Lepisosteus oculatus: one gene and its partner. The protein of the gene in region 2 interacts with the protein of the main gene of each other region in a pairwise test. Links are inferred from orthologs where the notes say so. Each region holds a gene or a part of one and is shown on either strand. Other genes may lie near its edges. The genes, in order: alg13 and bag4.

Region 1 (16,284 bases), on a different chromosome or scaffold from region 2:
AAGATGCAACCTGAAGAGAAGCAAGTATTTGAAAGATGAGCAGATGGGGATTCAGTCTAGTGAAGAGCAGGCAAGCCAGAATTTAGTCAGACCTCTGAACCACATCACATTAAACACCAGCTACAAAGAAACCATTTCCTTGTCCCCCAAAAGAGTGTAAGTCAAAATAACACAATTTAGATTGAATACTGAACAGAAAGCATTCAAACTAGTAGATTTCATTCATTTCAGTATGCAGATACCTTTTGAACCTCCAGAAAGTTTGCAGACTAAGCCTCATTTCCATAGTGACAAACTAACCTGCGGTCCTCAGTCTCTCAGGTAGACTTTAACTATTCAAATCAACTAGCTCCTTTTTTTAATCCCTTTTCTTTCCAAACATTTCTTTCCACTACCTACAGTATGCTTCCGTCTAGAAAGGCAAACCAGCCGGGGTCGCTGCCCGTCCCATATGTTACAAGTTGCATGATTTAGCAGACCAAAAAGCTGTGCCACAGTCTTCTGTGGCGGGAGTTCTCTCCAACTGTTACAAAAGCAGATTACAGTGCTACTGGCTACACAAATCAGCTAAAAGTACTGTAATTAAGACTGTGAAGTATAATACAGAAGTGGCTCAGTACAAATTTGTTTTAGCAATTCGGGGACTTGCCAGATGAGGGCAAAACTTTTTGTTCCATAGACAACACTGACAACTGTCTAAATCATTATTCACATTATATATAGTTTAACATGATCAACATTGAGATCTCTCAGCAGTGGGCCATAGTCCACCCCCTCAGGTTTGAAAACAATTCTCACCTTAGAATCATCTGTCCCAAGTTTTCCTTCACAGCGGTTCTGCCCACTTGTCTCCCACTCCTCCCTAAGGCAGATTTACAATCGATTATGAAGTCCTTCTTTTAAAAACCTCAAAAAGTATTGTTAAAAATCAGCTATTTAATTATAGATGGAAATAATTAGCCAATAAAACAAGATTGTCCTTAGTGATATAGTCTCCAATGGCAGTTTATAAAAGGTCCAAGTTAATTCTCACTGTCTCTAGCAGGACTGCATTCAAAATAATAGTTCAGATGTTTCTGGTACAGGGAATGGGCACATTGAATACGCAATAACAGCTACAGTTTGCTCCTTTCAGTATTATTTTTGCCGAATTAGAGTACACAACGTCTTATGAATTCACACAGCTTATCTACATGAAATAAAGTCCAATAAACTGTAGCAGAAATCTATAATTTAGCCCTTGGGGTGAACAAAAAAAGCACTTTCGTCAAGCACGAAATACATATGTACAGATCTAGTCAAGTCTTTAATGCAACTGTATTTGACATGGGCTTTTCACATCTGTGCCTTGGCTATACAAAAGTGCAGTAATACTTTGATATCAAATTTGGTGCACTTTTAAAGATTACTACTAACATACTAAATAAATCAGCGTATCCAAGGTTTTGTATGCTTTTTCAAAAATACACGGGCAAAATGTATTGATGAGAAAACTGAAAAACAGCTTTAAGTATGACCCAGACCACATCACCACTGAGAACTGACTTCAACTCCTGCAGGGCACTCCTGCTCCACTCTCAAAATTCTCAGATCCTCTTTCAGTTGCCTGCAGGCAACCATAAACTATAATCACCCACTACTGAGCTTAAGAATTTGCAAAAGGATGCAAGAATTATTCTTAAAAGTTTAAACCCAGAGTGAAGAATTGTGGCTGACCTTTAGAAATAATGTATAACACTTGTATGCTCCAAATGAATTGCATAATGACACAATAGGAATGTCACAGTGAGTCCTAACTGCATAACTTCATAAGGAATCATGCCTTCTACGTGTAATAAGAGGAGGCAAGGTCAGATTAGAGAAAGTGTACAACATAAGATGGGAGCTCAGAAATGCATCAAAACATGAATCATGTCAGGTAAGTAATCTTTGCCCTTTAAAATTTTGCAATTTATGCATTAAAGACAATACTTTCGCAGAAATAAGCCTCGTCATCCTTATCGTGGTAAAGGAGATGTGCATTAACGCTCGAACCACCATCTTGAAAAACTAAAGAAACATTGCTTGAATTGAGATGGGAGAAGTCATTTCCTGAGTTTATAGCATGTTAGAACAGTCTCTTATGGTTAAGCCTCCTCCCGGTGTAAACATTTTCCAAATTACTACAGTATTACAAAACAGAACCATTGTTCTGAAGCAGACTCCAAAATAACTAATAATAATAATAATAATAATAATAATAATAATAAGGAAGGGGGTTGGTGTTCTCTATATTCTGGAATGTGCGCATCATGGAAGGCCTTACTTGTTTTCTGAAGAGCTCCTCTGGGTCTTGTCATCAGGGGTGTCAAAGCTGGCATCCTCACTGCCCACAGAGGTGCTGTTGTGGTATCTGTGCCCGCCACTGTGGAAGGCCTCCAGTGCCCCCTGGATCTCTACCTCTTCAATGCTGAACACTCTGCTGTAAAGCAGCTCATACACAATACCTTGGAAAGAGAACAGCAAAATCAGAAAGCATCTCCATTTGGCACCCTATAGACGTGAAAAGTTATTATTCCCGTAATAGCATTAGGGGCAGCAAGGTAGCACAGTGGTTAGGTAGCACTGGGGTCCTGGGATTAATTCCAGGGGGTTTCCAGTTCCAGCTCCAGGCAGCAATGCGAACATACATTTCATTTTTTTTTTCAGAAATGAACCTGGTGGATAGAAGATAGGTCCACCCCAAATATTCTGTTTGTCATTCCCTCACCAATTGCATTGAGTAAAATGCACTTGTGAGTTCTCTCTTTGCGCATTCGTGATCACTGAGAGAGATTAGCTGTAAAATACTGCTCCAGTAAAGCTCTGTAAACTTTTTACAAATCACAAGAATATAATTACAATTGTAATGACTAAAAGTAATGACTAAAAACGGATACAATTGTGTCAGAAAGTCATCTTCCCTTTCAAATTAGTCTTAAAACCTTAACCTAAATTATTTAGAACTTAACTGGTGCTGGTACAGTATATACTGCTTTGCTCTTTCTGTATTTAATACCCCCATCTACTGTCTCTTCTCATTATGTGTTTTCATTGTGTATTTCTTCTATTTGTTGTCATTCTGTAAAATGCTTTAAGAAGCCACCTTTAAAAGTGCTATATAAAATGAAGTTCATTATTATAATTTCAGAAGACGATGAATATTGCTTCTTTAGGACACAGTGGGTCACTTAGAATGTATTATAGCATAAAGGATTTTATAAAAGTTTATATTTATAGTAGTCTTATTTCAAGCGCCTCAAAGTATGAGAAAATCTGGAGTAGAAATGCAAGATTTAAAAATGTTGTATAAACAAAACCCAAACACCCAAGAGTAATTACAAAAAATACCACAATCATTTCAGCAACTAGGAAACTAAGCTTCTAGAGACTTAACAGCTGACCTTCCAAGAACTACATACTGTAATGTGTATATCAAGGGAGCTATTCTTGACAAAAATATTCAAATTATTTTTTTAAATCAAACTTAATATCTTAAGCAGTTAAAGAACCAAAAGTTGCTTGAGTCAATCAAGAGCTTATTCAAATAACTCAGCTGACACTGGAATTGGAGAGAGCACCTCCTGAACTGAAGTACTCACCTTGGCACAAGGCAGCATCAGTTGGGTAGTGCTTTGGATAAACAATATCATAGTGGCCATTATTGGAGCAGCACAGTAAAATCTGAAACCAAGGGAGGGACAATTCAATGCACATGGTGTCTCTTGACTGAATGGAAGGTCTTCTCTAGGCAGTATTTTACCAATCAATAAATGATATACAGAAGGCCAACAGGAATGCTTCACCTTTTTGAATATTTGCAATGCAATCATATCAAAAGCCTTCACAAACTTTAATAATTCATGGCAAAAACTTGAAAGTGTTGAAATTGAGTTTCAGGTTCAATTACAATTTAATAAGAAAGATTGTGCTCTCCATATAAAATTTAATACTGTACATCTGAGCAACACAAAAGCTGTTATACAATGCACAAAGAAGAAAATTAAAACCCCCAATCATGAATTTTTAATACAAATGTCTAGATCGATAAACTCAGCTAGAAATTCACAGTTGGTTTACATTTAGTCATATGATAGGTAAAATATTTAAATTCTGCTGCCTGTAGCGCATAGAAATGGCTCCATCTGCTGTTTAAGAGCTGTCTCATCTAATTGTTAAAAGTACTACACAGCATTATGTTAGCACTTGTAGTCTTTTTCCTTATAAATCCCAAAATATCAACACAAATACAGAAAAGGGGGGTGGGGGGTTAGGAGAACAAATATTCAAATCTTAGATTAAACCTCTTTGTTGTAGCATTCACAACCTCTGGTCCTTATGGCTCCAGTGTATTAGCCTTTTTCCATTTCTAAGAGTAGCAAGTTGGACAGTGCCAGCCACAGACCACTAGACACCCGTCCAAAGAACAAGGTTTGCAAAAGTAACTCTCAGTTACTCTCAATTACCATAAGCCTCAAAAACTAATTTAGCCAATATAAGCACCAAATTTTACCAGTTCATTTTAACTTTAAATCTCACCAGAACACTTAAGTATTAGCTTAGGGTTAAACAATGGCGAATATCACATTAGTGCCGCCTTCAAAGCAAGACAGTCTCTGCTGATTTTTTATTGAAAGACTGCCCAGACAACAAAGTGTTTCCACAGATTACAAACCTGCCTTTTCTGTCTAGCAATTTATTTTATTCCAGATCTAGGTGAGGCTTTTTCAAATATCAAAATCTGTAAATTTCTATACAGTTACAGCACTGTACTTTGGTTATTTCCTAAAATGTTCCCATCCTCCATCCTCCAAAGAATCTCGCCAGACCTCTGCTAAAAGTTTGTTTTGAAATATTTAGATGTTTTTTGTAATATTTTAGCCTACTATGCAAATTACAGGAATAACTATCAATAAAAGCTTTCCTTTTTCCCCCCATCACACCAATATACTGTAAATACAGCACTGTTAAATATTTTCCTGGAATTTGGTCAGTTTCTTGCATGTTTACTCAATTCTTAAACTGCAGTGCTCAGCAAGCCTAGGACTGTTTATGGTTTGCTGCTGAAATACACTATTATTTTGACTTCCAGAATCAATGGTGTTCACAGGCACACTAATATGTGTTACTAAGTATTTTGTTTTTCCACATTTAGTGCCTTAAACCTCACAGCACTGCTCTTCAAGTAAAAAAAGTTACTTCTGAGTAAATCAGGGAAACCTGATAATTGGCATTATGCATTTAAGGAAAGGATGTGAACTGTTGCCCATAGTGGTGAAGTAAAAAAATATATCAAGCCTTTACCAGGGTTCACTGAAAGACTACACCTGAAATCCCAATCTATATTTTGGCTTGAAGTCAGGCGACGTAAACAAACGCAAATATTTTCCTTAAGTTTGATCTGGGACATTTCTCCATCTAAAGTGATGGCAGTCAAATAATAAACTGTACATCAGCTGTAAACAAAACATTCGCACCCCTCTCTTAACCTTCAAATAACAGGGAGACTGTTACTGAATGCCTGCAATCTTTTTCAGAGCTCTAAGCACCTCTCCAGAATCACAACCTAAGGAAAATCTTCAAAATCCTGTACATCAGACCTCCTAACCATAGGATAAGGACAAAAAAAACCCTGGTTGTGACCATGCAGGTTAATGATAGGTGTTTCAACCCAAGGTTTGCCTCAGTCAGATGGCTCATTATTTAAACAATTGCAAAAAATACAGAACTATGCCAGGTTTCAGGAAAACGGGTGGTTTAAGAAGAGTGACAATCCTTTTCACAAAGCTCATTACCTTTTCTGGGCACTCATTCTCAGCAATTTCAGTAGGCGATTTTCCAGGGGACTTATAAATGATAAACTGGCGCCTACAATCAAATATAAAAACCAGAATATGGTTCAAAATAAATAAGAGGTCAAATTAAAAGATTTTGAAAAGCTGTCCAGTGAGCAATTCATAATGCAAACAGAACAGCATGAACCATGCATATTAAAACACTTACAACAGTAGCAATTCTGGGCTCCAGCTCAAACAGTTCGTAATTGAAAAACTATTCATCTCCAATTTGAACTACAGCACTAACACCATATGCGAGCAGGCTTCTTCACAAGCTCCTCTCAGATTACCTTAACGCTGACTAATCAACCCACTTGGGGAAAACATGCATGAAGAGCTTTCCGAATGGGAAGGCTTAATGGAATGGGAACGTTCGGTTGCCTTGGGCTCGGTTCAAACTGAACTTGCTTTCAGTTCTAGAAAAAGGTGTTCTTCAGCATCATAAACTAGTTAAGTAGCTATGATCACTGATCAACCCCTCAGTTACCTGTTCAAACAGCTCCCCGTTAAAGGCGTGTTAAATATTCAGAACTGATCTAAACGTCTTTCATAGTGGTGAAATCAAAACAAAACCTAAATCAATATTCTTTGAAGACATTTACCCAATTGCATTAATGAAGGTGTTGTGTATTTAACCTGGCATTAATGTATATAATCCGTATCTAGTGATTACTCTTCCCCAGCATAGTGCCAGTCCTTGCAGTTATGCAATGTTAGTGCTGTACTTCTTTTTAAAGTATTTAAGAAACCTCTATTAAGAACGTAATATCAGAACACTGTGATCATATTAAAACAATTACAGCTTAGAGGGAAGTATATACAGAAGGTGCCACAGAACCCAATTATCGTTGCACACTGTACCCCCACGGTAGAGAATAACTTACTTAAATAGCAGAGAAAGAGCTTTAATCTCCACTTGGCCAGCCGTTTCCTACAATGAAAAGCATTAAAACAAGAAGTGACACCATTACAGAACCACTTAAAGCTTCACATCGAGAGGAGTTTCAGGATAAATCACAGAGGGGCGTACCTTTGGATCTTCCAGACGCTGCAAGTACTTCTCAAAAGATCCTTCCACAAACTAGAAAGAAAGAAAACAGAAAAGGTATTCCATGATTAAAAATCCCAATTTAAGGGATTTTTAGAAAATTTAAAACAGGATTTTGTATTTTTTATTTCTTCTATAACTATACAGACCTCAAGGGACAACTAAGAACATAATGGTTACAAATGAGAGGAGGCCATTTAACCTATTTGCCAGTTAGTAGTTAATTCATCCAACCAGCAGAGAAAGGAAGCCACAATATCTGCCTCAACTATACGGCTGAGCTGCTTGTTTCCTACTTCCACCACCCTTTGTGTAAAGAAAAGTCTCCTATTCCCGCTTTCAAATGCACATCCACTCAGTTTCCACGTATGTCCTTTGGATCCTGTTTACAGTTCATTCTAAAAAAAACTCTACTTTAAATGCCAATGATGATTTTGAATACTTGTATCGGGTTTCCTCATCATCATATGAACTTTTTCAATCCTAAAAAATATTTTTTAGGCTGTCAGCATAGGACTTCCAGGTTTTACCAGTCTTGCTAGTCTTTGATGGGCTGGTTCCTGAGCACCTTTTTTTAAAGCAGTGGCATGTAAGTTTGCTTAAAATATCTTCTAATGCATTTAATTTAGAGTTAGCACCTGACACACAGTAGGAGTATGAAATTGGCCTGAAACTCAATTAGTGCAAATGGGGTACATAACCTTAATTAAACTGACACTATTGTTTAATTACCATACATGGCCCGACTACACTTGTTTTATTTTTAATGTAGCCATCATTTGAAGCCACCTGTTTAAAACATGCCATTTACTTTACCTTCATGCTAATTTGCTTATCTTTCTGATTAACCGCTAAGTCCGTTGTGCTGAGCTCTTTTCACCTCTGAACACGACAGAGTGGGCAACACAAATACAGATTATATTATAATCTCGAAATTTGCATCTTTAAAAAATAAATGCAAATAATCGAGTAAAATAGAAAATTACATCGCATTATTTTTCACACTTCTAGAGTCGATTGTATTAGCAGGTCTCATGCTGTAATCCATTTCATTTAGTAAAGGTTTGAAGCTCAGTTTGAGCATTCCTTCCATTTCAAAACCTCAACCTTCAAAGACGAAAAGAAACTAAAATATTCAACTGCCTCAGACGTTTCTAAATTTACCTCAATAAACACCCAAGAAGTTTCAGTTACTCGTCCGAGGCACGTGGACGTCCCTACGTATATCTGTTAAAATGCTAGGAAAGCGTTTCTACTGCAGACGGAGTTAATTTCAAGTTATTTTAAATACTAATCTTTCAAGTGTATTGTATTCAGGATTCGATGAATTTGTCATTCTATAACCACTATTTCTGCAGTGTCAGCTTCAGAACGATAAACCCCAAACCTTATAGCATTTCACACATTATCACATCTTATTACACTATTTTATCACGTTCAAAATAAAGGCACGATGGTGTTTGTCGACGTTTTATTTTAAATTAAATAGCATAAAAGCGTTTATTTTACATTTCACGTTGTTTTAAATGGAAATGAATGAGCCTTAATAATGTAATGCAAGACAACTTACAGGTTCAAAGTTGCACCTGTTGGCTCTCATGAAATCAACACAGGCTTTCCTGACGTCCTGGTGGTAATTTTGCGAGCAATAAAGCTAGAGAGAAAGATAATGTAAATAAACCGATACTGAATGCAACATTGAACAATTAACCCTGAATAACACAAACATAAGCTTTACACGAAATTATGCGTTTTTAAGTGTTAAGTCTCTGAAAATGGGAGAGCCAAGACCGTAACATTTCACACAATTACACATCTAATTACAATACTTTATCATGTTCAAATAATATGATAAAATCTTGCAATGTGTTTACCTTGTTTTTACACTTAACCAACAAGTCGATAAACAATTGGGTATTAAGGTTTATAAAGCAAAGATCACGACATTCACAAACACCGAAATGTGGGGAATTCGAAAATGTTGTGAAAGGTGCAACAGCTTTATTCCAAAATATATGTGCTGACTTACCTGCTCAGAAACCGCTCGGAAAAGACAGGACGCGTCCCTTGCTACCATTTTTCTGTAAAGGCCAATGCTTGCAAGATAATCATCCATGTTCATAAAATATTTCTTTAAGCCTTTTTGCATTTTAAACGCAGTACATTATGTCTCACCGTGTAGAGACGAAAGAAAGCGATGCCTGAAAGATTCCTTTGAGAGAGAGACGTTCGAAACGGCCCGGTACAAAAGTGCTCTAATTAGCAAAGCAATTTCAGGTGGCTAAAACGGTTTACGTAAATTAGAAATTGAGCCTTCTTGGCCATTTGTGCTTAAAAGCAAATAATAGTTTGTCCGAGACCTTTTAATTTATTTTTGGGAGTTGGTAACACTTGTATAAATTGCATTTGGGTGATGTTTTTAGCTCAATGTTCGATATCGATTTGTTTGGAACTTCAAATGCGTACTAAAATGACTTAGATAAATCAAACTACTTTTTGTTAAGCATGATTAAGTGTGTTTTCACAGCTTTATAATTTAAATGCCCATTTTTTCTGACACCCGGCGTTTCAGGTGTACGGAAGCGCATTGCTGCCATCAGGGAAAACATAGTTTATGCGTTATCTCGTAATTACGAGAAAATAAATCATGAACATTTTCTTTGAATAAACCCCAGTGGAAAGTCAGTCCGTGCACACCATGCAATGTTTGACATTGTCGCGAGCACTAACCCCTAAAGTTGTTGCTCGGCTAATAATGGTTACTAGGTGGTGTCATTACACAGGTTGTTCATACACTCAAATGGTCATTCTTTTTTTTCCCTTGATGGTGGCAATGCGCTTCCGTACAGATACACGTCACTTTGCAAGGAAAACGCACAAACCACTTGTCATTTTTATAATCAAAATCACGAGTTTGAGAACTTTTTCTACAACATTAAAACAATATGGTGTTAACACAGTGTGATGTACACATACCACCAACCCCACATATGGCCCCGCCCAACAGCTAATTGCATTTTTAGAAACCGAACCTTTTTGTGTATGCGCAATTACGCATAGGCATACCATGTACGACATGGTGGAACCGCGGTGTATCGCGTGCACTAGATTTCCAGAATTGCTATTCTGCAGGTAATTATGCGAAATTAATACTTGCACAGAACCATATGAAGAAAAATACACCTTACTCAAAATAGGTCACAATTAAGCATCTGGATTCAACCTTTCATTGATTTCTGAAACTCTTTATTATCTGTTTTCTGTGTTAAGGCTTAGCTAAGAATGCTATATTTTTGACGGGAGGAAAGATGTTCTGCACGCAATATCTTTTTAACCAGTAGATCCATGCTGTTCAAGCCCGTTGATTTGAGAGTACACAGTACCCAGTAACCTTCAGAACCTTTCTTTGATTTCTTTCCTTTATTGAAACTTTGAAACTTCCCTTTATTTTTAGGACTTTTAGATTACGGCACTATTATACATGCACTACTTTGGAATGGGGGAGGCTATTTCACAGTCAATTACTTATTTTGGCTGTGAGTTGTGGTTTATCAGAAGGTGCTGTGTGTCCTACTGTTCCTCTCTGGGATGTTGCTGGATGTTGGGTGCTGGGATCACATGCTGAGGTCATGAGGTACTGTAGGTTTCTTGAGATCTCAGAGTTCTTTGGGTTGTGTGGTATTGCATGTCTTTTCTTGGCAGCAGGGTGGAGATCACTATTCAGATGAGAATGAACTTCTGTGTCACATTCTCAGCCCCTCCCCTGAAGGAATGGACCACCTGATTTCTCTTTGGGTCCTCAGGCCTTTGCTGCCATCGTGGAGTATGATGTGCTCTGTGGAATAGGGGTGGAGCAGTGGCTCTGTGGCTAAGGATCTGCGCCAGTGGCTGTAAGGTTGCTGGTTCAAATGCGGTGTCCGGTGGAGGAATCCTACTGCGTTGGGCCCCTGAGCAAGGCCCTTAACCCCAACTGCCCCAGGGACGCCATATAAACAGTTGACCCGCCTGTGTGTCTCATGGAGAGCAAGCTGGGGTATGTGAAAAAACAAATTCCTAATCCAAGAAATTGTATATGGCTAATAAAGTAATCTTATCTTAATATCCTGTCCCAAGTGTTGACCTGGAAAGCAGCTGCAGTGCCTTCCCCATTAATGGACAACATACTTTTGTAGTTCAGGTGTGTCAGCATGCGTAGGCCGCAAAGGAACAAGTAATACAGTAGGTTTATTCCATGCTGAAAAGAGATGAAAGAAAACAACATTTCGGCTGTGTAGCCTTCTTCAGGTGTGAGTAATTTATTTTAAATAAAAGTAGAAGTTGTAGAAGTCTCTGAGTGTTACTCTATGTGACGTCAGAGTCGAAGTCGAAAGAAAAAGTGTTCAATTTCAGGCCAAATCCTTTACGAATTATATTTTAACAACGACATCAGTAAAAGAATAGGAGGTGGTGAGAAAGCCTGGTCTTGGAACAGATCGCTGTGAAGAGCCGGAATGCTGGTTTAGTAAGAAAGGGGGCAAGTAGCCCAGGGAGGAAGAGAAGGAACGACAAAGAGATCTAGAAAAAGTTTTAGAGGAAGGCATAGTGGGTCAGTTGAAGAAGGTCAGGTGGGTAGCTGCGTCAGCATGCGTAGGCTGCAAAGGAATAAGTAATAGGTTAATTCCATGGTGAAAAAAAAAAAACACTAAGCCTGTAAGGCAACACCCGAATCCCTTACACCCGAAGAAGGCTCCACAGCCGAAACAATGTGTTTTCTTTCTTTTCTTTTCAGCATGGAATAAGCCTATAACATACTTTTGTTGTTCATAGTCCTGGGAAGAGCATTGATGTTTGTCACATTGGAGTCAATAAGAATGGCTACCTGCAAACAAGGAAAGGGTTGATTTTCATGAGTAAAATGGGAATTCTAGATCATAATTCCTTCATTCCTTTTTTTTACTTTTATATTTATCTCAACATAGAACAGTATGGTTTAATCTGGTAGACACATCTAAAAATGCAATGTTTTCTAAGATGAAATTGTACACCTTTGTCATTACTGAATTCAGGTGTGGTAAGCAGGGAGGGGGTAGTACTGACCTCTTTTGGGGAAATTGTTGAATGGTGGAAGGAACACGTTGAGGAACTACTCAACCCAGTGGACGTGCCCTCCTATCAGAAGACAATGACAGACATACCTGGTGCAGGGGAGCCCATCACTGTTGCCAAAGTCAGTATGGTGGTCCGAGGACTCCATAGTGGTAAAACTGCGGGGGTGGATGAGATGTGACCAGAGATGTTGAAAGCACTGGACAGTGTTTGGGGTAGCTTGGATAACGCGCCTCTTCAATGTTGTATGGAAGGTGGGTAAAGTACCCTTGGACTGGCAAACTGGGGTGGTGTTCCCTATATTTAAGAAGGGGGACCAGAGGGTGTGTTCCAACTATAGGGAGATCACTCACCTCAGCCTCCATGGGAAAGCCTATGCCAGGATACTGGAAAGGAGACTTCGCCTGGTAGTTGAGCCTCAGATGCAGGTGGAACAATGTGGATTCTATCCTAGCCGTGGAACAGTGGACCAGCTCTGTTCCCTGGCGCAGCTGCTTGAGGGTGCGTGAGAGAACGATAATCCAGTCCACATGTGTTTTCTGCTTTTGGAGAAGGCATATGACCGTCTGCTACACGGACAGAACTGAACAGCTACAGGGTTGTGTCAACTGCACGCAAAGGGATGTGTTTAAAGACACATCAAAGGATATTCACAAACTCTCTGAGGTGGTTTCCGATTACATTTCCTTCTGTGTAGACATCCATCATTCCTACCAAAAGCCTTAAGGTTTAACCCAATAACAAACCCCGGGTAACCAAGAGCCATAAACGTGTTTTGCTTAAAAAGAAACTTGTTTTCTCTCAAGAGAACACGGAGCTTAGGAAGGAAGCACAGAAAGAAGTCAAAAGGGAGATAAGGAAAGCAAAGGAACAGTACAGGATAAAAATAGAAAATACCATGGCTGTGGGAGATTCAAGGTCGGCATAACAGGGTATTAAATCCGTGGCCAGTATCACTCACGAGAATAAGGGTAATACTGTTCCTGTGTTAAATGACATGGTTAATCAACAGCTGGCAATTGATTTAAATGTGTTTTACACCCATTTTGAAATGAAAACCACAACCACCCCCCAACTTACAGTGCTGACCTCCCAGTATCTGGAGAGTCTATCAAAATTGAACCAGCTGAGGTATGTACTATAAGCCATTTAAGAAAATGAATGTGAGAAAGAGCACAGGTCTAGATAATGTGTGTGAAAGTGTTCTGCAATCTTGTGCAGATCAGCTGTGTGATATTGTCAGAATGCTTTTTCAAATGTGCTTAAATCTACAAATCATCCCTTCTCTGTGAAAGAAACCCATCGTTATCCCTGTTCCAAAAACTGCCAGGCCAACTGAGCTTCACAGCTTCAAGCCAGTGGCTCTTGTATCTCTTCCAATGAAAAACCTGGAGAGACTATTAACACAATACAACCATTGTTGGTTGCACAGAAACTCAGAGAACTTCAAACTAAACAGTAACTTTTTAACAAATAGGACTCAACGGGTCAGATTGGGGAACTGGTTATTTGACATTCGCTATACTTCCACTGGATCACCGCAGGGCTGTGTTTTGCTCCCCTACTGTAAACTAACGATTGTAAAAGCAAACACACAGACAGCCCTGGGCACCTTATTAAGGGACCCAGAAAACCATCATGGACCCATTCTAAATGACTTTACTAAATGGTACGACGGCCTCTCTGTGCAGTTTAATGTTCCAAAAACAAAGGAGCTGGTCATTGATTTGAGAAAAAAAATGCAATACCCCTCCAACATACTGTAATTAATGGTCAGACTGTAGAAATTGTCAGTGACTACAAGTACATGGAACTGGTCATAAACAAAAACCCGAGTTGAGACAAATGCTGTGACCATTTTAAAAAAGGACAAAAGAGACTCTTATTTCTAAGGAAACTAGGCTATTTCAAGGTAGATAGAACTATCCTGTCATTTTTCTACAAGTCTTTTTATTGAATGCCCTTTCATACAGCTGAGAGCTCAGTCACTTCTTGTACTTATGTGCTTAATTAGATACATTTTGCTCCAAAATCATAACATTTAAAACTACAAGAGGGTGTAGTAATGTTATGTTAAACCTGTAATGTAATGGTGAACCTGAAATATCTAAGGAATTGTTTTTCTTTCAATAGGAAGTCATTTACTTTGATAGCTTTTATTCCAACAAAAAACCTGTTTAAATATTGCATAAAAAGGTGCAGGACTGACAGTTACTCAGTTAAACATGCTGAGCTGAATAAAGTGCATCGTTATTCATCCATCCTTTAACCTCGTTATTCAATGCAGGATCGAGGCCAGCAAATGGGCACAAGGCAGGATACATACTCGACGGCACACCAGTCCATTGCAGAAGAGAATAATTATAAGCAAGAAAAACCCTTTCATACGTGCAATATGCAATATTGCACCTTTATACAGTACAATTCATGACATTATGTTGCATTGAAGAAGGGAGTTGTTTACAGAGATCAGTTTTAATGTTAGCTGTGGGAGCGTTGATGCTGTATTGATAGGATCTGGCTTATGTGATTTTGCTGTAGAAAGACAAGTGTCTTTCAAAGTTACTGAAAAAAGGAAAAAAAAGTGAAACGTTCGGCACCTGTTGCTAAACATACAATTCGATCGAATGTAAAATTAAATAATTATTTTGCAATAATAATAATAATAATGATTGCTTACACTTATATAGCGCTTTTTCTGGACACTCCACTCAAAGCGCTTTACAGGTAATGGGGACTCCCCTCCACCACCACCAATGTGCAGCATCCACCTGGATGGATCCATGCTGGATGCAGTGACACACATATTTGCTTCATTGGGAAATACAATTCTTATTTTTGCAGAAACCCCACAAAAATGTTTTGATCCCCAAAGATAAATGAAACTGGAAGACGTTTTTCTATTTCTGCTCCTATAGCATCACATGGTTTCTCTTGGGCCAAATTTGAGCCTGCTTCCTGTCCGGCCTGTGATTGGTTCACAGCTTGACACTGCTTCGCCTCTGATTGGACGGCTAGTCCCAGCTGCGCATGGTAGCTTCTGGCTAAGGCGGATATAGCAGTTTCATTCAGGAAAAAACAGTGAGGGGGAGTTCTGGTTAAACATATATAAAGTACATATTAGTATAAAGGTCGCATCGGTCTTGCTTCATGTCATTCTCTTTTAATATTCAGTAATGCGCACTTTGGCACTCCTGGGCCTGTTCGTACTGACGACGTTTTCACAGTCGGCAAAAAAAGATGAAGATGAGGAATGGGTGCATCTGCCGGATAAATGCGAGGGTGAGATAAGAATAGTATTGAGCTGAACTGCTGTTTGTAGCATTTACGAGTTATTGCTTTTTTCTGATCGTTTTTTTGAGGATTTCTGAGGATTTTTTGTGTTAATTGAGTTGTACAACAATGTATAGTTTAAAAGTGCACGATAAACCGCGGTTTTGCTGTTTATAATAATAATTGCTCACACTTTTAAAGCGCTTTTCTGGACACTTCACTCAAAGCGCTTTACAGGTAATGGGGACTCCCCTCCACCACCTCTACCAATTGAAACATTAGGTTGTAAACAGTATTTAGGGGTTACAGTACAGAATCGCACCCTCAAAAGAACACCAATAACACAAATTCAGTTATTTAATGCATGTACAATGTGCCGAAGTATTTCTCCAGGCACTGGAAAAACTGCATGATCTTCATGTGCACTTGTTTAATTTACTGACTGGTGTGTGTGTGTAATTGTGTTACTGAATCCATTTGCGCACAGTAATGGTGTTTGCAATCTTTGTGGTGATTTTACGATTCGTGCAATACAGGTCGGTTTGCTTCCCTAAAGCCAATAGAGAGCTAAGTGCAAATATACTAATATAATGTTATTCATTATATATTAGCGAAGACGTTATTTGTGAATTTCCCCCTTTCAAAAATGCAGAAGTGAAACTGGTAACGAATGCAGTACTAAAAATCAAAACAGTGCATGTGCTGCTAACTACTAACATTTCAGTGTTTTTTGCTTGATACTGTATATATAGAATTTGTTGTTTTTTAGTATTCATTTTTCAGTCTGCTTCTGGAAGGATTGCATGCCTTAAATTTTACATTATACAGTGACACTACACATAGTGAAAGGATTATTAAAAAGCGTCCAGGTGATTAAATTGGTGCTATTATTTTTCGATAGCTGTACATTGCCCTTTAAATACTGCGTTTTAGTGTCGAATCCTTTAGATTTTTGTCCACAAATATGAAGGAAGCATTATATCTTCAATAAAGATAAAGTGCTTTACAGCACACTGATGTGAC
Region 2 (16,284 bases):
AACATCAGAGATTTACGCTTCTTTGGCATCAAAGAAAAATTATTGAAATTCAATTATTCGCAGGTGTATACAACCGTACATTAGGACTAACTACACCTAAAAGTGTATGGGTACGTTAAATTTGTAGAAAAAAAATATGAACGCACGTACAATGTGTCACGGCCAACATATAACGGAGGATAAGCAATTTAGTTTGAAAATTAAAATCTCTTGCACAAAGTCTAATTAAGCAATCAGATGATTGTACAATAATGTGGACAACCAGGTTGATTTCAACAGTATGTGCTGTGCAACACAGCCGTCTTGTCAAGGGATACAGATAACATCTCCAAAGTCATTCATGGTTACTTTGGTAATGACGAATCAAACACTGCCCACTTACGGTGAAAAATGGGTTTACATAATCATTCCCATTCTGAGAAACGAGCATTTTATACAAACTGGTTCCTGATCATCTTCCATCGGTTCAGGCAGGATCCCACATGTCCTTACTGTATAAAAAATAATAATGATACAACCAGTAATAAAAATTGTGAAATGTAAAAATACAAGAAATCGACTAGGAGTCTTGCTGTTAGAGGCTGCTGAAATAAAAAGGAAACACGTTGTTGTGTACAAACTGAAAACTTTTATTAAAGAAACTGATGATATGTACATAGTTATCCTCCCTTCAGACTGTCAAGGAACTTTAAGCAGAAACAAAAATTTGATCAGATTACTGAAACATTTTCTCCTTTCATTTGCAAAGCTCCACAGATTTGGTAGATGATAAAAACGCCTGCCAATATTACAGTACTAAGAAAAAAATATCCTTCATTACTTACACAAAAATCTAACATTACAATCACAAAAAATGACTTTTGTGCCTCTAGGAACCCATAAAAATGTGATTCTAGGATATTTATTTGGTAGTTACAGAATATAAGCAGGTTTTCCATCTTCTCAAGCTTTGCATCCACAAAATGTTCAAATGGAGGTCTTGGTCTTGGTCAGACTGAAAGATTGATCAGGTAGTATTCTGATATTGGCAAGTTACAGCCTGGTATCCCACACTGTGACTAGTGACAACACAGAGATGAACTGGTGTAGGACAGTCATTTCCTCTGGCTCCACTCACTGCTCAAATAAAAACTGCTCTCAGAGTTCTGTGTAAAATGCAGTATCAGTTTTAGAAGGTGCCATTGCGAAAATAATTCTTACACATACAGCAAACAATATGGACATTATATGCAACAACATGCATTTTTTTGGATCGTTAATTCAGACCTGTATGATTTTTTCAATGATTTGTGACTGGAATGGATAGTTCTTTTCAAGATGTATAAAATGTTTACGTGATAGTCATTTTCCCCCAGAGATGGATTAAGGATTTCAAACAATATGTTTGAAAATTGCAGGGTGGTCTCTCTGTTTTCGGTCTGAATAAACAACCTAGCTGGGATGAACACAATGGGAATTCTATCAAAACATATCATTTGCTAAGTCACGAATGATTTTTGTATTTTGCCAGTAAGACTAGTAATATTATTTTTTCCCCAAATCAACCAAGGATAGAAGCGGTCTACAACACAGGTAATCTTTAAAGAACCTGACTATAGACAGCTGTTTACTTCAAAGTCACAAACATTACACTTTTCATCATTAATAATGATCTACTTTTATGAGAAATACTTTGGTAAGAATGTTCATGATCAGTGCCGACAGATGTCTCTGAACGCAAAACGAAACTAAAAGTTTTATCAAATAAACCCACTACTCACATAATGTGTAAATTGAAAACAACAGACTCATTACATATTAAAAGTATAAGCGACTGAAAACAGTCAGGTACATTAAGGTGCCCACATCAACCCTTGAAACACTTAAAAATAGACACAAATGGTTGTAAAAATAAAGCAAACCTAAAAGTATAATCAAGCTGTTTTATTTCCTACAGAGCTGTATAAGTTCTCTGTACAGCAGCTTCCTCAACATAGCCGGACACTACCTGTGCTCTCTCACAATGGGGAAGGGGACCCCAATACCTCCCAGCCGAACCAACTTGTTTCATCACAGGTACTGGGATACAGACCAAACAGACAACAGACGGGGAAGAACTTCACATTTTCACAAGGAAAAATGTAAGTGTAAGAAATAAGACAAACCAGTAAAGTCCAATGGCCTTGTGCCAATCTACTCATACAAGGACATGACGCCAATTCATATCATTAGTGGATCACCTAGCGCACTTTGTGCTCCATATACACCAACACCTAGTGTACTCTGGGAATCCCAGAAGAGGGTGGATATCGTTTTCAAGTACAACGCTTATAAATTATATATCTGTAAAAATAAATGTTTATAAATAATCCACTTTATAAAAAATGTTATCCATATTGATTATATGTAAACTATTATTTCCCCAAACAGCACCTCCTAGTTACTCCAATTCTGAATGTCTCTGCAACAGCTGAGTGGAAATAAAAGAATGAATGCAAAAAATCAGTGACAAAAAAAACGATACAGGGAAAAAGAGACCCCAGAACAGTACTTTAGCCCTTTCCATGTTGGTAGATACCCCAGCAAGATTAGGTGAATCTAATTTTTATGGAATGTGCACTACAGCGACTCTTGGGACACCTCTGAAATCATGGGTGGCAAAACCAGCTCTGGAGGGTCAGAGTCCTGCGGGTCACCCCTAAATCCTCCACTTCTTAAAACTTGGAAGGCATGTGAGGTTTGGATCAATTCTAGACAGAAACAAACATTGGTGGTTCTTAAGGGCTAAGAGGGCTTCATTTCAAAGAATCTACAAAGGGTCTAACTGAATAACTCACCTGGTTCGGTGCTCAAAGGAAAATTGCTGAAAGTGTCTGGAATTTGAAGGTTCATGGGTGACCCATAAATCCTGCTGGGTTCTGGAAAACTGGACTCTCGGGGACCAGGGATGGCCTGAATGATTAATATCATTGCTCATCTAAAATATACATGGGAGAATCCTGTAAGAGTTACAGGGGTCAGTGGAACAGGAAAAGGAGGGATCACCAGGATGTGGGGCCACTGTGCCAATGCTGGGATGATGGGAGGAGTGCATCTTTCTAAAAGAAACGTGGGGAGGCTCTAGAAAGCCTTCCTTTCCAGGCGGTCGAGAATGCCTTGTACTTTCTGCACGGCCTCCTTTCTGGTCTGCCGGACGAGATCTTGCCCCCCGGTTTCCACCGAGTCGAGCTCCAGCAGCTCTTTGGTGAGCAGCTCCTCCAGGCAGCGGTAGCTCTTGTCCGTTTTATGACCCACGAACTCGTCGACGTCCTCCTCCAGCAGGCCCACCCGAGCCAGGACCTGCTGCACCCGGGACAGGCCGGGGTTGTCGCTCGGCGGAGACGCCTCCCGAGGCGGGGCAGGCTCCTGTGCCGTTCCCGTCTTGCCGTACAACTGCGGGGGGGCGCTGTACTCCCCGCCCTGTCCGGGGTTAGGGTTCGGTGACCTGGGCTTGGGTCCACCGGGATGAGGAGGCTGATTTGGGTGGGAGTAGCCGCAGTACTGAGAGTCCTGCTTGAAAAAGAAAAAAAAAAAGAAAGGCAGGTGACAACACAAACCATGAAAAAGATCAAAACACTTTGGCAAGTGAAAATCAAAATAGGTATACAGTATAGATCAACAAAATCATCTTAGAAATAACTTCATTATACAGATGGGAGTTTACAAAAGCCAAGCCACTATTTCTAGACCTGAATTATTTTCTCGTCAGCAAATAATTAACAAAAGAATATACAGGCTGGCACTAGTCTATGCTCTATAAACCAAATCCATAACAAATTTCAATAATGCAAGAGATATAGCTTACTTACAAATTGGATCAACTTGTCCTCAAGGTCCCTACATTATATGTACAGTATCACACCTGAAGAAGGCTCCACGGCCGAAACGTTTGGTATTCTTTCTTTTCAGCATGGAATAAACCTATTACTTGTTCCTTTGCAGCCTACGCATGCTGACGCAGCTACCCACCTGAACTACTTCATATTACATATATGTTGTGTTTTTCATGTGTTACACATTTATAGGAATTACAGAAACAAAACAGGATTTTGTTTTAGAAGCTCCCCGGGCACATTTAGTTTTCCCTCTGCAGTTACACAAGCAAAGCAATCCAAAAAATATTCGAATTCTCACAGCCCGCCATCAGTTACCTTTGGGTCGTACTGTGGCGTGGCAGGCTCAGGGCTGGGCCAGGGTGAGTGATGTGTGGAGAGGAAAGGGTTTCCATAGTGGCCAGGAGGTGGCTGGGGGCCTGGCTGCCACTGTTGGTGAGAAGGGTGCCCGTAGCCCCCTGGGTGAGACCAGGCTTCGGCTGGAGGTCTCGAGGGCACTGCAGGCTGAGCAGGATACGCATGGCTCTGGGGTACTGAATGAACTCCATCTCCGTAGTGAGAGTAGGAAGCAGGAGGGTAACCAGGAGCCTAGGAGAGGAGACACGCAAAAGTAGGATAACAGCTGTTGGTTCTTGTGATGTAACTTTAGTTCTGTATCAAAGCTGCCAGCCCAGAAGAAAGCGGTGATGAGTACCCTACCCCCTGGCAGTGTGGAACGGGATAACGTTGGTGGTGAGAAGGGTGCTGGCCCACTCCTACTGTCGCAGGATTAGGGCACCCTTGGGACGGGTATGGGGGTGTTCCTGGTGGCTGATCACCACAATAGAAGGGGTTGGAGGGGTGGAGAGCACCGGAATAGACCCCGTTATGGTAGGCTGGCATTGCCTGTGAAGCAAAATGGAATTGTAAAGCATCTCTGAGCACACAAACAACAAAAGCAAAAGGTATCCAGAGCTTTACATCTTTTACATCCTATATAAACTAAGAGAGGAGGAAGTGAAATTTCTTACTCATTTTGACAGAACATATGTTTTAAGAGAGTTATTGCACTCAGTCTTGCCAGGGACTCATTTCAACATGTTAAACTCCATAAGTTCAGTCCAACTTGGCCACTTTAATCCAATGTAATTATCCACAACTTCTACTGCTTTAGTCTTAGTATAAAATATGACACAGTTTTCCAATCAATTATTGATTACTATTGTAATAGCTTGTGAAACAACTTGATGCACATGGCTTTTCACTTGAATATTGAGAATATCAAGCTTGATAGTATAATGCGATTAAAACAACCTCTCTTATAGACCGAGGGGAGGAACACTTGAGTGAGCCAGTCCACCGATTGAGTGTCATGCAGTGAAGCAGAATCACTCAATACTGTACCTGGGGGTTGTATGGAGTCTGTCCATTGACTTCTGTTCCAGGAGAATATGTATTTGAATATGGACCGGCTGGGTGAGATGGTGGGTACCAGTAGTTGGATGGATAGCCAGGGTAGGGTACTGAGTCCTATGAGACAAACCAGCTGTTAGAAGGTTACCATGTTTACTGCGGCAAAGAGTATTGCAGTACTACAGAACAGCAAAAACCAGCCTCCTCCAAAAAATCTGTCAGCTCCTTCAGGGGACGATTAATCGTACATGTGGACCTCTTTGTCCAACATGTTGGTACTAGTTCTGCATTCCTTTATCAACAGTAGGCTAACAAACCCCAAGGATGCTGTCTACACCTGAATATAGGGATTAACCACCATCCTCCCAATGTGATTATATTAGTTACTTAGAGGAGATATTTTCATTTCCCCGTGTATCAATACTCTTGGAACGTTAACTGATTTTTTAATATTCTATTTTTTTGGCTGTCATTTCAAGAAAAATGCAAAACAAAATTCTTAAACACACCATGGTCAAAATGTTTAATTGACACTCACATGGAAAAAAAATGTTTTACTGAACAAACCTGGTGGCAGATCTTTTTGAGTTTAGTTTAGAATCACGTCTTTATAATCATGGTTCTCTGTCACTGAAGGATATGATTAAACTTTTCAGCTGGGCATCATTGTCCCGAAACTTGATGAACTGGGGTCCAGTTCTGCAGGTCGTCAATTTGAATGCAAATGGAAATCAGACAGAAAACACTCAATCTGTTTAATCTATGAGTCCATTCTACCAAAGCAAAAACTGTTTTATCTAGTGACTGATTTTTGGAAGATGAAAGCTGTCATCAGATCAAATATTTCTGCTTTGAGAACTAAAGGAATATGATTGGAATCTCCAAAAAACTCCATCTGACCTGACTGCTGGAATACTTAAAATGACCACCTGTTTTCATTATTAAGTAATTAAGTAAAAATACCCTGAGCAAAGGCAGACTCATTTCACATCTTTCTTTGTAACAACTGTTCTAGTGTGATCCTTCAGTTGCAAACCCATCTGAATAGAAATTAATTAAGTGAAACTTTTCCATTTCAGTCTCTGTATAGGCTAAAAAACAGCACATAAACTGCTGTGGTTCGAGTTGTAAATTATTTGTTAATGACCATTTCTGTTTGCTAGACCATTCTTGTGTTGCTTGCCTTTGACGCTGTCCATTATAACAATCCCCTTAAACAATTTAAAATTTGCATTACTAACTCTGTCCTTTGTTAGTTTGTGTCCTGTCTGTACAAAAAGACAGTGTGTATCACTTCTTCACTGTACTTCTTCCACAAACCTGTTCCTTACTGGTGTTCATCGGAGTCGATAAAACAGGGCTCTCTGTTATCCACTAACTATAGTACAGTATATATTACCCTTCATCCAAATAATACAGAGGCAGAACACTTATTGTTTCTATGCTGGTGATAATAATGACCTAATTTCTAGGTCACATACTCTAACAGTCTTTGCATGTAATCTTGTAGGTATCAAAATTTCATAACTTAATAATAAAACTGAGGTTCTATTAGTTTCTATTAGTTTGTTCTCAGCATCAGACTGACAAATCCAGAAGTTTAAGGCAGTCATTTGATAATCGTGTGTATAATAAGAAGCTACAGTAGCGGTGGCCAGCCGTGGTGTTGAAGAGGCACAATCCAGCTGGTCATAAGGTCACCCTTAAATCCATTTTCAAATGCTTGAAACAATTTCATTTTGACCACAGAAGCAGGACATTCAGTTCCGAGACGAATTTTTGATCTGAAATGAAATCAAAATCACTTGAGAAACAAGTTCAATGTATTTACGAATTAAGATTTAAAAGGTTACTATAGGACCTACTGGACTGTAGCTCTCCAGGACCAGTGGTTTGGCCACCAACATGTTAGAGCATCGTTTTGAAGTACTTGTATTTTGCTTGACTATCGTATGCTGAGAAACTCGTCTTAGTTTTTTTTTTAATTATTATTATTCTAGGACTGATCCTGGTATCTCTAAAACACAACTGAAAGATTTCAAATTGTGCAAAGCAGTGCTGCTTACTCCCTCATAAAATCTATATCAATCACGTGTATTCATGCCACCCCTCTCCTGCGATCACTGCACTGGTTACTTATAAACTGTGGTTTGGACTTTAGTATTAACTTGCAAAGTTTTACACATTTTTGCTGCACTGTAAATAAAAGTTTATTTGACAACTTTATGCTCCCTCTGGTCATGCCTTATATTTGGTAAAATGTCTATGCACCTAAGATAAGGAATTATTTGAATTATTTGCTCTTCTTTGTACGGTACGATGCCGAGCCAGTAAATATTTTTAGGTGGTTAAGAAAACTGCTTCTACACGTCGGCTTTTAAGTAGCTTTAAGTAATTTAAGTTATTGTCTGCCTTAAATGTCCGTCTTATAGTTCTGTTGATCTAAGCCTGTGTGCTGTTACATCAGCACAGTATAGTAAAAATATACAGGGGTTAATACGGTACTTAAGACAACAACGACAACGACAAGTCGTTTAATGTGTGACACTCGAGTGAAAATACTGGAAGGAAATTAATGAATAATAAAGTTCAATTAAGAAGAAACGAGGTATTCAACCAGATTCGAACATCTATAAGGTATCCTACTGTAGCTGCTGAAGATAAGCCCCATAGCCTATTCAACGCTGCCACAAGTTACACGAAAGATCACCAATATGCATCCTAAGCTAAGCACTACTTACCCGACTGCCTGTCACCATAGGGGCATTCCAGTTGTTGTTTTCCGAGTTGTTGCTATAAGGAGGCCAGGTTCCTTTGGGATTTGATTGCATTTGGTGCATCGCCCATACAGGATCTCCACCATTTGCACGACCTCTCTCGTTGCCTAACGAATCGTACGCCATTGAGCCCGATTTTACCAACTTGACATTCCTTGTTAAACCAGTGTACGGTTAGAGTTCTGTGGCTGTGCGTTTAAAACGGAACACAACCACATAAAACAATGAGACGCGAAACGTGTACCGCCCCTTTAAGTTTGAGGAACTCTGCTTTCCTCGTCCTAGATGGCAATTATTACATGAGGGCACACTCTTCTTACGTCAATAGGTTAAATCATTTTTTGACCAATAGGTGTTCAGAACTCGGAAACACGTCCCACCTACATCCTGGAAAACGACCTATAGATGAAAGCGGGGTCTTGGTGCCCTTCTGACTGACGTCACTTCTGGTTTTTGCCGGGGAATTTAAAGGGGACGTCAAAGGTTCTTCTAAAGTATCTCTAGGGACATTTGGGATGGAATAACGCATCCTTGATGCGTCAATATTTGTCATATCTACTTGCAGAATACGTTCCTTTAAGCTTCGTGGTGCTATATGATGGCACAGTGTAACGGCTGTGTTTATTAACACCATCATTGAGTTTGGTCTCTTGATTATAATTTGCATAACTAATTATATAAATTGGTTAGGTAATCCTAATGATGTAAAATCAATACTATTTAACCTTGAATCAGACATGGTGGGAAGTTTATATTCCAGTAACGTTTTGACTCTTCTCAATCGGAACAAGACAAGTTAAAAACAACTGAATACGAATAGGGAGTATATAACACAAATCAACTTCTTCAGTCTCTCTGCTCTCACTCCATAGTAGCGTAATATCTAATTCTCCGGTAGGATATTGAAATTTGCTTCAAATTTGCAATCAATAGAACTCAACTCGTTACACACAAAAGAGCACGACAAATGTGAAATGTATTTAATTTATAACATGCATATCCACTAGTAACTATGCCAATAAATATGTTTTTATCCCCAATTTAGCGTTTTCACTCTTCACGAGATCTGTAAATTGTCTTAAGTGGAACATCAAATAAAGAGTTAAATCACAGAGGAAGTGCAGGTCTTACACTAACCTTGCACTTCCTGTCAAGGCAAGGATACACACATTTTGAATGATTCATGGCCAGAAAACGGCTCTTTATAATTATTTCCAACTTTAAAATAGCATAGTTGAATAGCGCTTAAGAAAATGAATTATATGCCGGGAACAGCGAGTCTAATTGAGGATATCGACAGTAAGTAATACGTTTAATTACTGCTGATCCGTACCTTACAATGTATCTTGTGAAGCTCTGCTCGGTTGTGAAAGAGCAAGCGGTGTATTGTTATTTTTTTCAGCTAGTAAAGCGGCTTTTCCCCGTGTTGTTTTTCAATGTGAGTGACTGGTATTGCTTAGAAAATGCAGTAAACGGCGATGTTGTTTAGTCAATATTTGAATGCCTCAGGTTAGGTGTCCCAATTCCTCCCTTAACTCTCACCTCGTCGAACCATGTCGAAACGGTTTAGAAAATAATAATTTATCGCAAAATAAACGTGCACATATCATTTTACTTTTCTGTTATGGTAAAACCGACCTACAAGGACATAAGACATTACGGCTAGCTGCCATGCATGTGTTATTTCCCTATAACATTTAATAATACTTGTCGATGAGTGGAGACTAAAACATCAAATGTTTCATTGCATTGCTCAATTAAGTTATTGTTTTTATTTGTTCCTGACTATGATGTCGTTGCACGTCCTGTGGTGAACGATAGTGAAAACATTGATTGTTGATTACCCTCAAGATCTTTTGCTGTATTGGTTTTTTTTTCTTTTGCAGAAAAACATCTTGTCCTTCTACGAGACGGGCGAACACTGATTGGATTTCTGCGAAGTATTGATCAGTTTGGTATGAATCATTGTGGATCACTTGGGTTTAGCTTTAAAGATTTTCTCCGTGACTTGCATTCAACTTGGGGGATAACGTAAAAATGCAATTTGCCAGGACATGCGTATCATCATACAACTCGGAAATGAAATTGGTTCCTTTAAAATGAGTTCATTTCTTGTTGCATTCAGTTAAATTTTCTTAGTTGTTTTGTTAGTGATCAATTTCAACGAAAAAGGCTGCTGTTTTTTCTCTTGGTAGGTAAATCCTGTAGTTATGTTAATCACAATCCCTAAATTCTGTGTTGTGACAACTGAGACTTCCACATTTTTATATCTTGGAGCTAACATTTCAGAAAGAAAAAAGTTTTAACTTGATCACTGCGAATCGGTGCATTTGAGAGTTCCTTGCTAATGGATTTTTAACTGCATTTCCGTTTAATTTGCAGCTAATTTAGTCTTGCATCAAACAGTGGAACGTATCCATGTGGGCAGAAAGTATGGAGACATCCCTCGAGGAATATTTATAGTGAGGGGGGAAAATGTTGTTCTGCTTGGAGAAATAGTAAGTAGGCTTCTCCTTCTATAGCAGCTTGTTTCATCAGTTGGAATGTTTCTAAGGATGTGGCTCTGAAAACGGTTTCCTTGAATCAGTCCTATATACACAGACTTGTTTTTGTTATTTTCTGAAAATAAACTGATCTGGAAAAACTAATTTCACAAAAAAGAATAGGCTTGAAAAAATGGCGGTTGATCTGGTTGTAAATACCCAGTTTCTCAAACTCCCTTTGAATGCTGTCTTGAAAACAGCTCTGTCACTGGCTTATACCCAGAAGATTAAATGTAATGGAAGTAAAAGATTCTCACAGCAGGGTGAAGCTGGCACTACCTATGGTAGTACATTTGTCATATACAATTACTGGATGTGTAGCGCAGTTGGGCTTTTCAGCACATTGTGAACATGCCTCTGAAAAGATCAATTTATCGAACATATGATAGCAAGGTATCTCACTGCAATCAACTGGAAAGACTTTGAACTTAAGTGAAGTCAAAAACTTGGATCTATTGATGCTAGAAAAAATTATCTGTGATTTTCTGGGTATGTAGAAGGGAAAAAATTATCTCCAAATCAGAAATTTGAAAACATTATAAAGGACGCTCCACTGGTAATCCTATAAAGGACTTTGGAAACTGAGGATGATGTATCGTAACTTTCAGCCTTATTAGAATATCTGTTGTCTTTTTTTTTCTCTGCCCAGGCTTGCTTTATCTTAGCACACTGCACATCTAACTAATCAAATAAAAATAGATCAAATCAGCAGAGAGCCTTAAACTGGTCTGTGTTTGATTCCTAGGATCTGGAGAAGGAGAGTGATACAGTCCTGCAGCAAGTTTCCATTGAGGAGATTTTGGAAGAGCAGAGGGAGGAACAGCAGGCTAAACAAGAGGCAGAGAAATTAAAACTACAAGCACTTAAGGACCGTGGACTGTCTATCCCACGAGCAGACACCCTAGATGAATACTGAATCCCTTTTATTTTAATTGGACCTTTCAGTTTTAAAACCAAGATGATGACAGGTTGTTGTTGTTTTCACAAACTAACATGATCATGTCCTGAAGGGAGAGGAAAGAAAATATTTACCCCTAACAGAACTTGCCACGTTTTGTTTTGTCTAATAGTATTTCAAATGAATGGCGAATTATGGATCTAAACTAATCGTCTTTTTGTTACCTTTGATATGTGTCACATTGGACGCCAGGGCAAATCGCAACAAAGCACTTGTTTTAAGCTGCTGTAGTTATTTTCATATTATGTTTCTTAAATGAAAAGGACTTCTTGTTTTTTGTACTATTCTGTCAGAATAACGGTGGCTGTTTTGAGCTGCCATGTAAATAAACAGAGAACAATCTAAGAATTGTTTAAAAAACTGTCAACATTTTGGTCTTTAAAAATATTAGTGTATTGTTTTCGTGCAATATAACACTTAATTGTGATTGACTGTTGAATATATATATATATAGGGTGCTGGGAATACTTAAAGACCCATGTCTTACTGTATTTGTTCCCGCTCTTTAGTTTATCCTGATTTTTTCATTTAGAATTGTTTTTTCAGCTATATTAAATTAATTACTTGTGGCTAGCTCAAGCAGGTATTGTGCACCAACAGTGTGTTGAAGATAAGGGAAATCTGTACAGTGAGCAGTGTGTTTTATCTGGCCAGAGTTTTTTTTTTTTTCTGTGACACGAGTGCATTGCTCCATACTCGATGGGACACCTGACCACCACATGGCTGTCCCTCATTTGTAGTTCTGAGTAGACTGCAGTGCACGGAGGAAATGAAATGAGCTCTCATCCCATTAACCTAGCACTCCACAGCCCTGGCTTCTAGCCTAATGTGAGAGACAAAATTGAACTTCTCTGTGGAGAAGGTCCTTGGGTTCAAGCCCGAGTCAGGCCACTAGCCAGCTGTGAGTGGGATTCCCCGAGCACCATCTCACACTCAGGGAGCGTGGGGTGGGTTTATCTAAACGGCTCCGGCTTGTGCACGTGTGGGTCTGTCAGAGAGGCAGTGATCTGCACAAATAAGGGGAATGAAGAGTTTGGGAAATTGTCTTGCATATAATTTAAAATATTTTTTTTACGACACTCCAAACAGAGCCTGGCTGCATCGAACTTCCTTCTTAACTGGATTCTACCAGTGGTCAGGTCAATTGGTTGATGCATTTCTTCTGAAGCCATACCTATCGATAAACGATCCCCCAACTAACTGTCCATGTCAAAGAATCTGTACCATGGAGACTAAGGAACCATCTCCATGACCGAATTCTGAGGAGATAGACAGGTTTGTAGGGTACAGTATGCAACATAGCTGAGCAATTGGGCAAGATGGTCCTTGGTCGTAAATAAAAGTATTGATCTCTTTGGCCTGAATAGAAAGCACTATGCCAGGTGCAAACTGAGCACAACTCATCACCTGTGTAACACCATCCCTTCCAAGAAGCCTGGTGGCGGCAGCTTCATTTTATAAGGATGCATTTCAGTGGCAGGGCCTGGGCCACGTGTCAGGAGAGAAGGAAACGGTGCCACGTACAAGCAAAGCCTTGAGGAGAACGTGCTTCAGAAAGCACAAGACCCTAGACTGGGATAAATATTCACATTCCAGCAGGACGACAATCCCAAGCACACAGCCAAAGTCACAATGAAGTCCCTATGGCCCAGCAACAGCCCAGACCTGAATCCCACTGAGAGTCTGTGGAAAGGCTAGAAGACTGCAGTTCACTGATGCTCCCCTTCCAACTTGACAGTTTGAGCAAATCTTAAAGTGGGTGTTCATAAAAAAAAAAATCCCTCAGGGGACAATAAAAATCTTATCTTAACTTGTTTAATAATCATAAATGTTGCTAATTTAAGTATTTAGACCTGTGAACTCAATATTTGATGGAAGCACTGTTGACAGCAGTTACAACTGCAAGTAGTTTTGCACATCAGCTTAGTATAATTTTGCAGATTTGCTCAAGCTGAAGTTGCTTGGAGATCTCTTACAAACAACTTTTTGCACGTCTCTACGTAGATTGTAAAAAAGATGCAAGACAGGAATTTGACTGGGTCACTTAAGGATATTAACAGATTCTGTAATATCTGTAGATATGGCCTTGCTCCTTGGATCACTGTCAAGCTGAAAGATTAATATTTGTGCCACTTTTAGGTGTGAAGCAACTTTTCTCTAAGATTTGCCAGTACTTTTCTCCATCTACTGTATGTTCCCATCAGTCTTGACACACTTCCCAGTCCCTGTTGATGACAAGGAGAAGTATAACATGATGTTACCACCATCGTCCTTGGTGGTAGGAATGGTATGGACTAAGTAGGCACTAGGCTGGTTTAGCATCAAATGAAATGCTTTCCATTTAGACCAAAAGGTTCCAAAATTGTCATGTTTGACCACACAAAACCGTTTGCCACATATCTTGCAGTGTCTTGTAATGTTTTGTTGTAAACCCCGTGTGGGATTTGAGATTTGTTTTCTGCTCTGGCATACAACACAGCTTTGTGGAATGATTGAAATATTGTTGAGTCATGGACGTTGTCTCAGCCACTGAATGCTGTAGCTCTTTCAAAGTTGCCATCAGCATAATAGCAGCTGGCCAAGGAGGAAACTGAGGCAGGCAGTGTATGGGTGCTTTCCAGTCCTTAATGACACAACTAACTATGTAGCTAGTTAAGGTTATTTTGTGCAGCTGAATTAATTTGGGATTTGAGGATTTGTTTTCTGCTCTGGTAGAATTAATTTAGGTTTGCCTTGGCAAAGAGTTTGAATACTTCAAACTACTTGTACATTTTTCTTTCACATTATCTACTTATTTCTTTTTTGCTTTGAATGTGTGGAGTTGGTTGTGCATATAAAAACATCGATGTCTGCTTCATCCTCTCACGGTTGCGAGTGTTAAAGCAACAGACTGCAACTCTTGATGTTGGTACTGTAAGTCATTGTCCCGTGCAAGTTGTACAGGAGAGACAATGTTCCCAGCAGATGGCGCAACGGTTCGGTGCTCGATTCAAATCAGTGAAGCTGCAAAAAAAAAACTTAAACATTTTGCCAGTAGACCTCTCTTTTTTCTGTCAGTCTATGAATATGCAGCTAGTTCGCAAAGACATACGCAGATATGCAAGATGTTACTGAGATTTGAGCGATGTAAATACAGCTGTCTCGGACGTAGTGAATAGTTACTATACATACATCTGATAAATTGAGGTTTTTAAGTGTTGTATAAACCCCAGACCTTTCGAAAAATCGAATGAAATTAGACCTAATAATCCCCATCTATGAACTGGCTTCATCCCCACCGAAAGCTGGTGTGTGGTGCGCGTTTTGGCGCACTATGACTGCCGTCGCATCATCCAGGTGGGGCTGCACATTGGTGGTGGTGGAGGGGAGTCCCCATTACCTGTAAAGCGCTTTGAGTGGAGTGTCCAGAAAAGCGCTATACTGTATAAGTGTAAGCAATTATAATTATTATAATTAATTATTATTTTTTTCTGCGTAGTAAAGGTGTGCAATTTAACAGGAGTATCTCCGCTATCTGTTTTGATGTAAAACAGCACCTTCCACGAGGTAGCCCTCCTCCGCCTGGTACGGGGCGGGGGCTGGTAGGGGGGATTAGAAAAAAAAAGTCTGCTATCAGATGTCTTTGACAGCCAGACATGCCTCTTCTCTCAGCGTTCGTGCGTCAGGAGCAGCCGTGGGTACGCCTCTTCCGACCCACTGTGCCTCGGTAGCCGAGCAAAAAGAGTCCTCCGTTTTGCTTGCTTTATAGGAAACAAATCTGTTAGAGATAAACGGGTGCTCTTCTGTTTTTCGGCCGAAGGAAACAATACCTGTACTTTCTGACCCAGAGCTGACCAGAAGCACGGGGAAGCCGCTTGGAGCGTCGCCAAACCCCACAACCAAAACCCAGCCCTGCTTTGATTACGCGCCGAGAGGGGGAGCATGTTGAGATTGTGACAACCCCAAGTGTACTTTACGAACTCCGCAGTGTTATTACTGGTCTGCAATCTAACCTGGCTCACAGACGCGGCCACTATCAAAGAACCACCAGGGAAAAAAATGCTTAGACAACGGCATGTGTGATACTCTAAATTAAATGACTATTTACTGAACTATTTAAACTGTTTTATCTTAAATATTTTGTAATGGACATGTCTTCGCAAAACGATATCCGTAAACTCCTACCGTGCTTGTGTGCTGGAGACTTAAGTGCTGGTGTGCAAAGCAGTTCTTCGAGTTCAGAATGTCTACTCGTTTGATTTGAATTGTCAAAGAAAAAGAGAAACCGAATTTCTCTGCGGCTACGGGGATTGGGGTTTCCAGCATACAGCCCGAACACTGACAGCATCCACTCGCCCTGAGTTTGTGTCGTGGTCACACAGACGGGATATTAATGGAGTTAGAAAATATTGTGGCCAACACGGTGCTTTTAAAGGCGAGAGAAGGTAAGGAAGTCTTTAAATGTGAATATGAAACCTAAACGGTGATGCGTTTGCGCTTTCGAAAACTCTCTGCAATGAGAGTTTTTTTTATCTCGGCCTGAAAGATTACATTCATAATTCCTAAAACATTTTTTTAATCTAATGGTATTCGGCTTAGTTTCGGATGTTGTTTCTGAGACAGATGTAATGTGAAGTCGACAAATACTGTGTATTCAGAGCCACTTTATGGGAGAGTCGACATCTCTCTAGCCTGAGTTCACCATTGTATCACTTTTTAAAGTATTAACGTATGTCACTTCTTACGTCTTTAGTTGATCTTTAAAGGAAAACAATATGAGCTAC

The links.
Region 1: the proteins of bag4 (region 2) and alg13 interact in binary tests that used the Homo sapiens proteins (3 or more experiments, as listed by UniProt). The link is inferred for Lepisosteus oculatus from reciprocal best matches to the Homo sapiens genes BAG4 and ALG13.

The regions. Positions count from the first base shown.
Region 1 is NC_090703.1:39,617,338-39,633,621, reverse strand, and holds the start of alg13 (putative bifunctional UDP-N-acetylglucosamine transferase and deubiquitinase ALG13), read right to left. Parts: upstream 9,149-16,284; 5' UTR 9,053-9,148; coding exon 8,933-9,052; intron 8,558-8,932; coding exon 8,474-8,557; intron 6,937-8,473; coding exon 6,886-6,936; intron 6,787-6,885; coding exon 6,740-6,786; intron 5,887-6,739; coding exon 5,814-5,886; intron 3,703-5,813; coding exon 3,621-3,702; intron 2,487-3,620; coding exon 2,306-2,486; intron 863-2,305; coding exon 799-862; intron 1-798. Other genes in the region: cnpy3 (protein canopy homolog 3), read left to right, coding at 15,165-15,270. UniProt on the Homo sapiens protein: Catalytic subunit of the UDP-N-acetylglucosamine transferase complex that operates in the biosynthetic pathway of dolichol-linked oligosaccharides, the glycan precursors employed in protein asparagine (N)-glycosylation.
Region 2 is NC_090697.1:70,603,188-70,619,471, reverse strand, and holds bag4 (BAG family molecular chaperone regulator 4), read right to left. Parts: upstream 8,323-16,284; 5' UTR 8,147-8,322; coding exon 7,985-8,146; intron 5,361-7,984; coding exon 5,235-5,360; intron 4,737-5,234; coding exon 4,551-4,736; intron 4,440-4,550; coding exon 4,170-4,439; intron 3,532-4,169; coding exon 3,100-3,531; 3' UTR 606-3,099; downstream 1-605. Other genes in the region: G protein-coupled receptor kinase 5-like, read left to right, coding at 15,894-15,945. UniProt on the Homo sapiens protein: Inhibits the chaperone activity of HSP70/HSC70 by promoting substrate release. Prevents constitutive TNFRSF1A signaling. Negative regulator of PRKN translocation to damaged mitochondria.